4 linked regions of the Macaca mulatta genome follow. The protein of the gene in region 3 purifies or fractionates together with the protein of the main gene of each other region. This does not show direct contact. Links are inferred from orthologs where the notes say so. Each region holds a gene or a part of one and is shown on either strand. Other genes may lie near its edges. The genes, in order: ATXN2L, NUFIP2, FAM98A and ATXN2.

Region 1 (3,567 bases), on a different chromosome or scaffold from region 3:
AGGAACAGGGACGGTGACCCTGGACACCCAGAGAAAAAGGAGCAAAAACTATGTTCTCCTGGAAACCTGTCTTCACTTAGTGACCCCATATCACCAACACATCACCTAGAGAGCACCAAGACACTCACGTATAAGAAGAAAGACTGCTATCGTAGGTGGTCTTCACACCGTAGTTCTCCTCATTAAACTTGAACATTTCATTGGGGTCCCATCCATTGGACTGGGGAGGGAGAAAGCAGGTTTTAAAATCCAGCAAGAAAAGCAACATTGACAAGTCACTTCCCTTCCATCAGATTAAAAACTCTTAAGATGTGACCAAATTGGCTGGGCACAGTGGCTGAAACCTGTAATCCCAGTAGTCTGGGAAGCTGAGGCAGGACGATCTCCTGAGGCCAGGAGTTTAAGGCCAGCCTAGGCAACACAGCAAGAGTCCATCTCTACAAAAAAATAATGAAACAGGTGGGTGTGGTGGTGCATGCCTGGGGTCCTAGCTACTTACTACTTAGGAGAGTGAGGAGAGAGGATCACTTGAGCCCAGGAGTTTGAGGCTGCAGTGAACTATTATGGCACCACTGTACTCAGGCCTGGGCGACTGGCTGGGGGTGGTGGCTCATGCCTGTAACCCCAGCACTTTGGGAGGTGGGTGGATCACCTGAGGTCAGGAGTTTGAGATCAACCTGACCAATACGGTGAAATCCCATCTCTACTAAAAATAAAAAATTAGCCATCCGTGGTGGCGCATGCCTGCAGTCCTAGCTGAGGCAGGAGAATCGCTTGAACCTGGGAGGCAGAGGTTGCAGTGAGCTGAGATTGAGCCACTGCACTCCAGCCTCCAGCCTGGTTGATGGAGCAAGACCCTGTCTCAAACAAAAAACAAAACAAAACAAACAACAACAACAAAAACCCAGGCAACAGAGCAAGATTCTGTCTGAAAAATAAATAAATAAGTGAACAACAGTGAAAAAAAATAAGGATGTGGCTGGCAAAAGTAATCAACTAATAATTGTAATTACTAACTGCAATTTTTTTTTTTTTTTTTGGCGACAGAGTTTCATTCTCGTTGCCCAGGCTGGAGTGCAACGGCACCATCTTGGCTCACCGCAACCTCCATCTCCTGGGTTCAAGCGATTCTCCTGCCTCAACCTCGCCAGTAGCTAGGATTATGGCATGTGCCACCACACCCAGCTAATTTTGTATTTTTAGTAGAGATGGGATTTCTCCATGTTGGTCAGGTTGGTCTTAAACTCCCAACCTCAGGTGATCTGCCTGCCTTGGCCTCCCAAAGTGCTGGGATTACTGGCATGAGCCACTGATCCCGGCCTGCAACTGTTAATAATTACTAACAATTGCAGCAGAAATTAGTGATAACTAGTAAACCTGAAAAGTCAAAAAATCCAACAAGTCTATGTCCAAGACATCCCAGAAAAATTCTGGCACATGTGCGTAGGGAATACAAGTTCTCAAAGTCCAGCAAGGTACTATTTTTAGTAGCAAAATAATAGAAACAAAATGCAGATGAGTAACGAAAAGGACAAATACAATTTGTTGCGTATACGTATGTGTGTGAATATAAAGAAAACATTACACAACAATAAAAGCAAAGAACTAGATCTATGTATCACCACGAGAAGTTCGAAAACGCAAAAAAAGCGAATTCTTGTACAAACCAAACATAACAAAGCAATAACATATTCATTCACAAGACATTTGTTTCTCAACAGACATTCTTGCTATGATGCCCAGGCTGGAGCACAGTGGCCATTCACAAGTTCAATCGTAGTGCACCAAAGCCTGAAATGATTCTCCTACCTCAGCCTCCTGAGGAGCTGGGACTACAGGTGTGGGACCACCATGCTCAGCTCTATTCATGAGCGATTTTTATTTTTATTTTTTGAGATAGCCTCACTCTGTCGCTCAGACTGGAGTCCAGTGGCACAATCTCAGCTCACTGCAGTCTCAAACTCCTGGGCTCAAGAGATCCTCCTGCCTTGGCCTCCTAAGTAGCTGGGACTACAGGAATGAGCCATTGTGCTCAGCCTCGTGAGAGATTTTAAATGTCTCAGAGTAGCTGATTTTGGGAAGAGAAACGGGTCTACACGATAATCTATACTTTTCGTTATGTTGAAAAATAATGTAATGCAAATGCTAGGAATGGTTAATTATAGATAGTAAGAAAATAAGTTGATGTTTTGGTTTTTTTTTGACAGGGTCCAGTCAGGCTGGAGTGCAGTGGTATGATCACAGCTCACTGTAGCCTCGACCTCCCTGGGCTCAAGTGATCCTCCCACCTCAGCCTCCCAAGTAGCTGGGATTACAGGTACATGCCACCAAACCTTGCTAGCTTTTATATATCTTGTTGCGACAGGGTTTTGCCATGTTGCCTGTGCTGGTCTCGAACTCCTTGACTCAAGTGACCCACTGGCCTTGGCCTACCAAAGTGCTAGGATTACAAGCATAAGCCACTGCACCCAGATGAGAATAGGTAGTTTTACTTTGCTATTTTCTATGCCTATTTGTTATCTGACCACCATCAACGGGCAACAGTAAATATTTCCCTCCCCCTTCAAATGAACCTCACTGTCAACAACCCATTCTGTCTGTCAAGCTCCCAGGTTCTCAGGGAAGGCAGCTATACCATGTCGGACTCGAGGTCGTAGTCGTCGCTGTTGCTGTCACCCCCCTCCCAGCGCTGAAGCACCTTCTCTTTGTGTTCCCCATTCACTTTTGAGTTCATGGCAATGGCTGAATCGGTGAACTTGTCTGTGGGGGAAGAGGTGAAGATCAGCAGTCAGGCCCTATTTCACAGACTTCTTTCCAATATCCCCCAACCCCACTCCCCATAAGTAGTAGTTCAGGAACGAAAAGTTTAAGAAGCCCAGAGTACGTGTGCCTGTGTGTCAGCACGGCCAGGGGGTGGGGAGGCAAAAGAAGAGTAAAAGAAGTCTATCAAGATTATGATTCCAAAGAAAAAAGAAATTAAAAACAAGCAAAGAAAATATGAAGAACCACAACACAGGCTGGAATTCATTCCATTATATATTAGACATCAAGACATATTTTTAAGAAAAAAAAAATCCACCCACCTTGCTCAGAAAAAATAAGAAAAGGTATTAAGGCAAAAAAAATAAATAAACCAAACACATCACCTTGTTCCACCTGCATGCACACAAACTGCCCTCTGTCCTCTATGCACACAGAGCAGGTCTGAGGTAAGAGCCTAGGACGATACCTTTAGTAGCGTAGTTGAAGTCAACATTTCGGAAGTGAACGAGCATGACATCACTTGGCTTAAACACCATGGTGTCCACAATGTCCTCCCGACGAGGGCCACCTGCTGGCTCAGATGCTTTCCGGTGCACAGCATCCACTGCTAGTTCAAACTACAAACACCCCCATTCCCCACACCCACGGGTCAGTTTCAAGAAATGTGAAGGCAAAATTAGGACTGGATTTCTCTAACCCTTCCCGAACTTTTCACAACACTACATCCTCAATACGCTTAGAACCAAGTGCATTGTTTTCTCAACATCAGCCACAGGACTTAGCAAAAGTCTCACAAAAATTTAA
Region 2 (3,567 bases), on a different chromosome or scaffold from region 3:
AAACCCCGTGTGTACTAAAAATACAAAAATTAGCCAGGCGTGATGGTGGGCGCCTGTAATCCCAGCTATGTGCGAGGCTGAGGCAGGAGAATCGCTTGAACCCGGGAGGCAGAGGTTGCAGTGAGTCAAGATCACGCCACCGAACTCCAGCCTGGGAGACAAGAGCGAGACTCCATCTCAAAAAAAAAAAAAAAAAAGAAAAGAAAGAGAGTTACTAGCGTGAAACTTGAAAGATATCTCGTTCCCTTTAAACTTGGGCTTTGGGGCTATAGAAAGGAGACTCCCAAGAGCCTGGTCTTGATTATGCTTATCATGCTTGACATTGTAATTTGTCTAACTTATTTTCTAGTTACAAATTGGCATCCATTACTCCTTTTAAGACTTATCAGACTCCTCTTCAAAAATAGTGCTTCTACTCATTTTAAGCAAATTAGAACTACTAAATGAGCTCACTAATAAAGAAGCATATGATACAAAAAGCAAAGGAGAAGCTGGGCGCAGTGGCTCACACCTGTAATCCCAGCACTTTGGGAAGCAGAGGGAGGCAGATCACGAGGTCAGGAGTTTGAGACCAGCCTGGCCACCATGGTGAAACCAGTCTCTCCTAAAAATACAAAAATAAGCTGGGCATGGTGGCACATGGCTGTAATCCCAGCTACTCGGGAGGCTGAGGCAGGAAAATCACTTGAACCCAGGAGGCAGAGGCTGCGGTGAGCCAAGATCCCACCACTGCACTCCAGCCTGGGCAAGAGAGACTCCGTCTCAAAAACAAACAAGAAGCTGGGCGCGGTGGCTCACACCTGTAATCCCAGCACTTTGGGAGGCCAAGGCAGGTGGATCACAAGGTCAAGAGATTGAGACCATCCTGCCAACACGGTGAAACCCCATCTCTACTAAAAATACAAAAACTAGCCGGGCGTGGTGGCACGTGCCTGTAATCTCAGCGACTCAGGAGGCTGAGGAAGGAGAATCGCTTGAACCTGGGAGGTGGAGGTTGCAGTGAGCCGGGATTACACCACTGCACTCCAGCCTGGCAACAGAGTGAGACTCCCTCTCAAAGAAAAAACAAACAAAAAGCAAAGGAGAAACAAAAAAGCAAAGGAAAGAGAACATATGTTCAATAAAATTTTTTTTAAAGCACTCGGTCAAAAGAAAATATAACATCAACACCTTTAAGCAAGTTCTCCTCACTTCTTTGAACCAGGTAGATCAATTATGTTTGTATTTTTAAAAACCATTTTAAGTTGGAAAAGTGAACATTTCTTCTAAGTTTTAATCATACTAGTTCCAAAGACCCTGAATCAGTTTGATGTTAGTTGCTTATCCACATTGTCATTCTCTTAAAATACTCTTAATATGAACAACTAATTCTCTTAAAATTCTTAATATACTAAATTGGCCAATAAAAATCTTTGCATAGGAAACAAATGAGTTACCTTTAGTGTGATATACAATAGCAGCCCTCAGGTCAAATGAACCCCAGCTATCATTCCTTTCTAGGCCTCTCTGGTATCTCTGTTCTTTGGCAGAGCCTAACAAAGTGTTCGTAGGAGAGGCCAGAGGATTTTGATTTTCTATCTCGTAGTCCTTTGAGAGAAACACTAAAGCACCTTGACTACTGGTGTCTGCTTTCTGCAGGTCACCTATATGACTGGGTTCCAAGGATAAGGCTCCACTCTCACTAGTAGTCCCAGATTTTAGAATGCTACCCAGAACTTGAGGACTAGTCCGTTTCTCCAGCTCATAAGCCTTGGGAAACACAGGATGCTCAGTTCCTGAGGGAATTATTTCAGCACCCTGTGAAACCAAAGTGGCAGGATATTCTCCTTGAAATGTCACCTCCATCACTTTATGCTCTGATGACTTCCCAATAACAGTCTCAGGGCCAGCACTGGGCTCATTTATAAATGATAAACCCCACTGATTCTGGAAGATATCCCCCAGGTTTTGCTGATCTGTCTGAGAGGGCAGATCCACTTGTGCTGTGCTCAACAGCATAGTTTGCATATTTGAAGGATAGATAAAAAGGCTAGTCTTAATTTGTTCAACAGCTGCTGAAGTTAGACTCATGTCCTGGAGAACTGAATCTGTCCCAGAAGAGACGGGTGTTAGAGTATTAGCAGCAGTAGTTAGCAGTGGCTGACCCCCTGGAGGATAAACATTTGCATCAGTTCCTGCTAAAACAGGCCCATTAGAAAAGTTGGCAGAAGTAACAGATTTCAGCGCTGACATAGGGACCTGGGACAAGCGACTTGATGATTGGGTCTGAGTTTCCCCAGTAGATGATGATGATGATGAAGATGAAGTTGGTGACACAGAAGAGTTTTGTATAGTTTTGTTGAGGTTTTCCTTAACTTTGCTTGCATAACTTATTTTAGGAACTATTTTAGCACTGCTATTGTCCACTGGAAAAACTGGGGGTGGTTTAAATAGGGTCCATGAGTCCTCTTTGGAGGCAACAGCTGAAGCATGCTTTCCTTTGGGCCGATCATCAAACTTTTTGCTGCTCACACCAGGTTTACTATCTGAGCTTTTCCGAAGCATATCACCCACAGCAGGTTTTCCTCGACTTGTTCCTCCAGGCCCAGTTTCATACTTCCAAATGGGCTTCGAACCATCTACTCGATTTCCCTTTTGTTCACTATAGTCAGGCTTGAAAGTTTCAAGTCCCTGTTTTAAGGTTGGGACAGTGGTCTCTTGTTGCATTATTTTGTCCTGTACTATATTAAGGTTTTCACAACCCTTAGCACTATTGCGCCTAGCTTTCCTTTTTTTAGGAGTTGTATATCCACTCTCAGATCCACTACCATCATTATCTGCTCCTTTACCCATATAACCATTAGTAATATAGCCAGAATTATTTGTTACCACACCATTTGGAATTGGTATAGTATCAGACTTATCTACAGACTGGTTCTCTCCAGATTTATTTTCATAAGACTTTCCATTCTTTTTGTCCATACTGTTTTTCTGAATGTAATTCTTGGTTTTAATTCCTGCTTTCCCAAAGGTGTTGGCCTTTACAGTCTGCTTCAGGCTAGTGTCTACAATTTGCTGGTTGCCATTGAGGACCCTGGAAATAGGGTTGGTGGCTTCATCAGAACTCAGGTTCTTTAAAGAGATTTCTCTTTCTCCAGCATTACCGTTTAGTTCACCATAGCCTAGGGGAGGGAAAAAAACGGTTTATTAAAAAAAAAAAAATCACAACATGTAAATTACACTAATACCTAACATTTAAGAAATGTTTATTTACTGTATGCTAGACACTATGCTATGAACTGTAGCTTTATATTATTTCACATCTGTATGAGAAGACACTTGTCAGCCCCATTTCACAGACTAGGAAATGCAATCTACTGCTAAGCAAAGCAAGAGGTAGAACTGAGCCAAAATTCAAAGCAAAGTCTGAGGCCAGAAAAAAAGACCTCTTAAGCAGTATGCCAAATACCTCTCATCTAACAAAATCAATCTACCCATCACTCTCACAAGGCTGTTATAAAATTTTCTTTTTTTTGAGACAGAGTCTCGCTCTGTCGCCCAGGCTGGAGTGCAGTGGCATGATCTCAG
Region 3 (3,023 bases):
AATAATTTAAACGTTAGCTGAAAAATAAACAGGTAAAGTTAAAAGCGATGGTTTTAGTTATCAGAAGAATGTGCTTATCTCAGTAGCAAGTAGATTATTTTAAATGGCATGAGTTGATTCTTTTAAAAAGCCCAATTTAGTAGTAGAAAGAAAATACAATTTCTCTTTTAACAAACATGTTTATATTTTCAGTTACTTCCTTTTTTAAAAAAAAAGTCCCCCAATCTTAGGAAGAATGGAGAAGCAAATAACAAAAAAAACCCTAAAAACTTGAGACATTTTTGCCTAGTATGTGTAGCAACAGCTACACCCAGTGGCCAGAGATAAGTAGTGACGGTTTCTAGCTGCTTCTTACAAAAGGAAAACCTGAAGAGCCATTTTTCTATTTATTTAAGGTTTTAGGGTAAGAATCACCTTTCACTACAATTAGATTTTAAGGAAATACTCAAGAATCTTTGGGAACAAAAGCCTTAGCTCATTAGCTTGACGCAAGAGTCCAGAATAATTCAGTAGCTAAAATAAAACTCAAACCAAAGAGAGAACTTAACAGGTACTTTATTGCTCACCTTTCACACAAAGCACACCTCCAGCCATTTTCTTTCACAGCTTGACAATGTTTACATGTACAAAAACCCAGCAAGAAGCATCATGTCATGTAGATTTCAGTAAGGGAGAATGTAAAACATCAACTCAGCCAGGCTTTTGTTTTCTGCAGCAATAATAAAGGGCCTCCTGCACTTAGCAAAAATCTGTCTTAACTTTGTAGTGCATTTCTTCCATTACAAAAAAAGTCTCCTGCCTAAAGCAAACTAACTTGTATTTGCTGAGCCAGTGGTATTAACTCATGCATAAAACAAATTTCGGTTTGCTATTTCTTCTAGCAAATTTCAAGTAAAAATAAGGTTGAAGGAGGAATTTGTTTTGGATGGATGCAGGTCAGTTTGAATTGCTATATTTAACTAAATGCCTACATGTACTAGAGGTTCACAACTTAGTTTGCTTTTATAATCTTTATGGATTTTGGCCGTGTTCAAGGTTTTCAGATTTGAGCATATGATACAGTATTCCATCAACAAAATAAGGCTACTGAATGTGCTATCTGCAGAAGAGCTCATTTAATAGGAACTGACCTAAAAGTTCTATCATGAAGCACACGTGGCATAAAAGTCAACCGGGGGCAGAACTGTGCTTGGAAATAGGCATTGGAATACTTTAAGCAAAACACATATAAATGGTTATTCATATGAGGAAGGTTTCCTAGTAGTAAATCTAAAAAAGTCTAGGTGAATCCTCATTTTCAAAACTGCATATTGAAAACATGAAAACTACTTATTCAAGTAATTGCTTCAAAAAAGTATGCATGTTCTGACTGTGGAATTAGTCTACTGGTCAATTAAAGGCAATTTTAATCACCTTTTAAAAAATTTTTCATAGAAAGGAGAGATGTTATGTGTTTCTCAAATAAACAGCATTATGTAAGTCCAATAAAAAAATCCAACAGAATTGAATGAAGACCTACAAATGCTTATGCCAAGCAGGAATCTGCCTGCCACCTGTGGTCTCACATTAATTCAAAATAGGTGCTGAATTCAGGATTCTGAAACTAAGTTTCTATTACTTGAGCTCTAGCAAAATGTAAGGTTCGGTAGCCTCAACTAGTATAATGTCTTCCCTGCCCAAATCCAGAATGATTATACTGATAACCTCCATGCTGGAAATGCTGTTCAAATTGACCCCCTTGGTGATAATTCTGGCTCCCTCTTCCTCCCCAGCCTCCTCCCTGGCCTGCACGACCCCCTCGCCCTCCACGACCCCCTCGCCCTCCACGACCACCACCACGATCACCGTGGTGCCCACCATCTTGGTATCTATTGTCCTGCTGGTAGCCACCACCCTGGTATCCACTTCCTGTATATGAAGATGTTTGGAAGCCACCATAACCTCCGCCTTGATAACCACCACTGTGGCCACCATGATAGCCACCTGGCTGGAAACCTGAATCTCGATAACCACCATCTTGGTAGCCACCTCCTCCTCCACTCCCTCCATCTGTCCAGCCTCCTTGATGCTTATTTCCTCTTCCTCCCCCTCGGCCACCATGGTCATAGCCACCACGTCCACCTCTCCCGCCTCCTTGTTCATGACCTCCTCGTCCTCCGTATGAGGAATGTTCATAGCCACCTCTCCCTCCTCCTCGGCCTCCTGTTTGCTGCTGGGGGCCATCTTGCCTCTTCTGCCATGGTGGCATCTCTGGGGGTGGAGGTTCGATTTCATTGGGTCTACCACCTCTGTCAGGCACCCTGCCCATCAACACCTACAGAATAGGAAAGATATTTTAAACTTTTATTTTACGAACAGAAATAAATGCATTTGGAAAAAATTAAAGGTACTCTAATCACCTTATTGATGGCACAGGCAGTTTTTTCTCTTATAGAGCCGCTGCTTGTCCTTAAAATCTTTGACAAGTCCTGCCTTGCAGCCAAAAGATGGGCAACAGAAATAGTACTTTTAGGGGATAAGACTGAACGTTTCGGCTGGTAAACCTTGGCTAATTTTTCTGTCTGGCTCTGTTGAAAGAAAAGTGTTCAAAGAGAAATATCAATTTTCAAAATGACATAAGAAACACATATTAAATAAGTTAAAAGTCTCCAAAATATCTGATAATGATATTTACTAGGCTCCAGATGGTAGGAAAAGTTATATACTCACTACTGCTCCTATGTAGACAAGAACTACCTTAAAAGTACAGCTGCCAGACTTGTTGACACAACAAGGAGTGACAGGGACAGTGAGGGCAGGGGTGGAGTGGGAGCGCTTCCCTTTAGGGTTATGAGGCCAACATGATAAAAAGGTTCCCCCATCATTGGTCTCAGATTGAACATATTCATATTCTCTATTTAAATATAAGAATGTAAAGTTATTTCAACAATTTTGCTTTTTAATTTTCCTATCTTTGGTTTCTATGAGGTAATAAGTATCTGCTGAATGACCAAGGTCTTTACCTGGATTGTCTCATTTAGCTG
Region 4 (4,158 bases), on a different chromosome or scaffold from region 3:
GCTCTGTCACCCAGGCTGGAGTGCAGTGGCCGGATCTCAGCTCACTGCAAGCTCCGCCTCCCGGGTTCACGCCATTCTCCTGCCTCAGCCTCCCGAGTAGCTGGGACTACAGGCGCCTGCCACCTCGCCCGGCTAAGTTTTTGTATTTTTAGTAGAGACGGGGTTTCACTGTGTTAGCCAGGATGGTCTCGATCTCCTGACCTCGTGATCCGCCCGTCTCGGCCTCCCAAAGTGCTGGGATTACAGGCTTGAGCCACCGCGCCCGGCCGGAAAAATCTAAATTAACCTTAAACTGTTGTAAAGCCTCAAGGAACAGAAAAAAAGACCTTGTAGTACTAAAATATTCCAAATATCTTTGATCACTCCAACTACTCAGGTGCAAATTCTATTATAGTCTAATTTTTAAGCCTCATAGTCAATGCAACTTAACGACGTTAGTTTTAACGTTTATATATTTGAACATGTTGAATATATCTGCCAAATCTCTTGCTAATACCTAAGAAAGTAAAAACAGAATGCATCCTTTTCTATAAACATTGTATTTTAAATTTTTTTGCTAGATGCCAACGAAAAAAGGAAACTGAATTTACCCTCTACCTGGGGAAATGATCACTTCATCTGAACTAGTTTGGCTAAGCAGTGTTTGGGATGCTTCAGACTCACAGAAGGGGAAGGGTGGGCGGGGCGTGTAAAGTCAAACAACCGACTGTTTCCGCCCCCTTTGAAGGCAGCAGAATTCCTTAAAAACCAGCTGATTCCTCTTGATGGGGAATTTCTGCTGTAAATAAAAATTCTTTGGAAAGGGGTTGCTGAAAATGTGTTTTCAAAAAGAATACTCAGGTGAATGAAAAATCCTCTTATTCCACCTTCCAAAGCCCAAGATGCCTATTTAAGGAGGACGCCGGTCACCGGCCCTGTCAAGACGGCGGCCTAGGCCTAAGGAAGGCACAGCAGTGCCTGCAACACGGATGGACTTGAGGCACAGGGGAAATGGACTTGCGTGCCCTTGGTAAGCTCTGGCGGCTCTCCCGAAGTTAAGGACACCGGCCACAATGGAATGGAGTCTATTGACGTTTGCTTCTCCCTTTGAACACTAAGCATTTTCTTAGTTCGCGAAATACGAACTGACAACCACCCGCCACCCCCAACAGGCGCTCCTGCACAAACACACCCTCGAGTCAAACCCAGCTAGCCGGGACAACACTGAGCCCCCAGTCCCTACCACAACCCCAGCTTAGGAGGAAAAAAGACGCCAGTAAACACCCGCATTTCTGCCTTCAGGATCCCCACCACGTCCCCTGCTGCAATCTCTCTCTCCTAGCATTTCCGAAATTGGGGCGGGGGTTGGGATAACTGCGCAGGGTGCCCGCCCCCTGCCACCAGCACTGCCGCCCCGGATCTCCCCGGTCCAGCCTGGGTCCGGCCCTCGCCCACCGCTGTTCAGAGGCGCCTTCTCCACCGTGGCCTCGAACAGCAATGCGGATTGGCCACCACCCGCGCGCCGGAGAGGCCTGGCGGGGGAAGGAGGAAGGCCGGGAGGGGGCCGGGCACTCCCCACCCCTTCCCTTCCCCAAGTGGGGGAGGGCGGAACGTTGCAGGAGGCCACACGGAGCCCCACGATTCCAAGAGAGTTCGGGAGCCCCCGCCGCGCCCTCGGACTCGAACGCGGAGAGGTGCGGGGGCCAAGGCCCACCTGTCTCCACCTGGTCCTCCAATCTTTCCCAGGACTGGGAGGGGGCGGGGAGAGAGCCCAGACAGACCCTGATGATTCCGGAGAAGCCCGGTGCCTACCCCTTTAACAGGCACGAGGGACGCAGACCTAACTTCTCCCCTCCCGAGATGTCTCCCATGGCGGGTGAGGGGGGAGACACATGTTCCAGAAAACGACATCAAAGCCTCTAGACCCCTCCAACGTTCACATCTGAACTGGTAGTGGGGGCGCTGCCCGAGCATCCCCACGCTGCGGTCGGAGGATCGTGGGGAAGGGGGATCCGGGGCTGACCATCGCCGCTACCCGAAAACCCCTCCCAACACGCGTGGGGAGGGGAGGCCGCCCGCTCCCTCCATCTTGACCGCTGGGGGAGGGGGCGCGGATGCTGCGGGAGGCTGGACAAGCCTGACAATCCTAGAGGACCCCGGCTGCGCCCCCCGGCAGAGCCTCGGGGCTCAGGCCCAAGCGAGTCCCCCTCGCGCTGCCGGCCCCCGGCCCACCCCGGGCAGCCCGGCGGGTCACGGGGCGGGGACGGCGGCGCGGGCCGCGGGGGAGGGGACGCCGGGACCGGAGCGGAGGGGGCTGGCGTGCCGACACCCACCTGCCCAGGCCGGGCCTACCGCCGCCGGAGGTCGCCGCGGCCGCCGAGGAGGGAGTCGTGGCCGAGGACGAGGAGACCGAGGACGACGACGGCGAAGGCGAGGCGGCGGGCGACGCTAGAAGGCCGCTGCCGCCGGGCTTGCGGACATTGGCAGCCGCAGGCGGCTGCTGCTGCTGCTGCTGCTGCTGTTGCTGCTGCTGCTGCTGCTGCTGGGGCTTCAGCGACATGGTGAGGGGCCCATACACCGGCTCGCACGCCGGGCGGGGACAGCCGGGAGCCGGGCGCGCCGAGGAGACGCCGGAGCGCGGCGGGGACGCGCGGGCGCCGAGCAGGGAGGCGCGGGTTGGCGCGGCCGGGGGGGCACCCGGGCTGCCGCGGGGGAGAAGGAGGACGACGAAGGGGCGGGGAGGCCCGCCGAGACCGAGGAGCTGCGGGGAGCCGGGCCGGAACGCGCCACCGCCGTTGCCGTTGCAACCAAAACAGTCTGAGGCGGAGGGAGGCGAGCGCTGCCGGGAGGGAGGGGGGCCAGGGCCGGGCGGGGGAGGGGCGGCGGAGGGATACTGTCCAGAGGCCGCGCCACCGCCGCCCCGCCCGTTCCGCTGCGCCGGCCGCTGGAGCGAGCGCCACCCGGGCCAGTTGGCTGCGGCGAAGGGGCGAGACTGGGTGCCCGCCGCGGGACTCCGAGGAGCTGCGGCCACTGAGCGCATCGGAGGCCGGGCGCGCCGAGGCGCCGGGGGAGCGCGGAGGTGCGGTAGGGACTCTTTACCGGAAGTCGGAGGGGTCGGGCGGAAGCAGAACGTGAGTGGCCCCGGGGCCGGGAGGGACACGTGAGGGCGCCGCGCTGGGCCGCTTTCGCGGGGGTCGGCTGAGGGCCCGGCCGCGGGCCCTACCCGGATCCGCCCTCTTCGAGGCGGGTCTGCCCTTCGGGGAGGGCGTGTCGGTCTTAGCCTCTGGGGCCTGCCTGGTGTGTAGGACGAGAGGGAAGCATTTCTTTCCCCTACTGTATTCCTTCAGCGTCCTCACTTCTGCGGGGACCTGGTTTGCCCCCACCTGATGCAACCCAGAAAACGGACTGCGAGTGCCTTGAGGCGGAGAATGTGTCTTGCTACGTGTAAAGCACCTAGAACCCTGCCAGACTCAGGGGACACAGCATCCCGCCGTTTTCCTGCCGTCCCCACCTGGCACATAGTAGGCGCTCCAGTGGCTCTGGGCATCTCCCAGGCAGGCCGCGCTCTCCTGCCCTTGCCGGGGCTGGAGTGGAGCAACCCTCCGGGGCCACCCACATCTGGGTACCTTTTCCCCACTTTTTCCACCCCAGCCGCACACAGTCACCAGAAAACTCTTTTAGGTATCTGACCTTCATTTGAACCTACGTTCCCTCGTTTGAACTTCTTTTTCCTCATTCGTGACATTCTAAAGGAAATATATGGGACTGGGACTGCTAGCACCACGGATAATAGGATCTCCCTCGGTAGAGCCAGAGCCGACCTCACAAGAATGTGTGAACTTTAGACCTTGCACCCTTTAGAAGTTTTAATTTAACTTACCAGCCAGCACAGTAGACCCTTTTAAAAATGTGTTGCAATTAAGCTGGAAGCAAGTAGAAAGTAGATAACTTTTTATTTTTTTAGCAGTGAATCTATTGTTTTTTTAAAGTGAAAGGACTTCAGGAAATAATAGGGGAAGAAACACCAAAATTCCCCTCAATGTCCTAGAACTGCCCAGATAAAGGTAAAGACTTAGATAAACGTGGAGAATGATTGAACCAGCAGTTTTCAGTAGCCCAACTGAAATTAACCTCCTAGATAGTCCGGGCAAAACTGATCATCGTACTCTGCCAATGTAG

The links.
Region 1: the proteins of FAM98A (region 3) and ATXN2L purify together in Homo sapiens (co-immunoprecipitation; 3 studies listed by BioGRID and IntAct, with this or other methods). This does not show direct contact. The link is inferred for Macaca mulatta from reciprocal best matches to the Homo sapiens genes FAM98A and ATXN2L.
Region 2: the proteins of FAM98A (region 3) and NUFIP2 purify together in Homo sapiens (co-immunoprecipitation; 3 studies listed by BioGRID and IntAct, with this or other methods). This does not show direct contact. The link is inferred for Macaca mulatta from reciprocal best matches to the Homo sapiens genes FAM98A and NUFIP2.
Region 4: the proteins of FAM98A (region 3) and ATXN2 purify together in Homo sapiens (co-immunoprecipitation; 3 studies listed by BioGRID and IntAct, counting the BioPlex papers as one, with this or other methods). This does not show direct contact. The link is inferred for Macaca mulatta from reciprocal best matches to the Homo sapiens genes FAM98A and ATXN2.

The regions. Positions count from the first base shown.
Region 1 is NC_133425.1:28,113,698-28,117,264, forward strand, and holds part of ATXN2L (ataxin-2-like protein), read right to left. Parts: intron 3,381-3,567; coding exon 3,230-3,380; intron 2,761-3,229; coding exon 2,636-2,760; intron 221-2,635; coding exon 129-220; intron 1-128. UniProt on the Homo sapiens protein: Involved in the regulation of stress granule and P-body formation.
Region 2 is NC_133421.1:38,007,603-38,011,169, forward strand, and holds part of NUFIP2 (FMR1-interacting protein NUFIP2), read right to left. Parts: intron 3,162-3,567; coding exon 1,437-3,161; exon of another isoform or gene 757-1,436; intron 1-756. UniProt on the Homo sapiens protein: Binds RNA.
Region 3 is NC_133418.1:91,384,983-91,388,005, reverse strand, and holds the end of FAM98A (protein FAM98A), read right to left. Parts: intron 2,568-3,023; coding exon 2,400-2,567; intron 2,315-2,399; coding exon 1,652-2,314; 3' UTR 540-1,651; downstream 1-539. UniProt on the Homo sapiens protein: Positively stimulates PRMT1-induced protein arginine methylation. Involved in skeletal homeostasis. Positively regulates lysosome peripheral distribution and ruffled border formation in osteoclasts.
Region 4 is NC_133416.1:118,797,231-118,801,388, forward strand, and holds the start of ATXN2 (ataxin-2), read right to left. Parts: upstream 2,824-4,158; 5' UTR 2,540-2,823; coding exon 2,313-2,539; intron 1-2,312. UniProt on the Homo sapiens protein: Involved in EGFR trafficking, acting as negative regulator of endocytic EGFR internalization at the plasma membrane.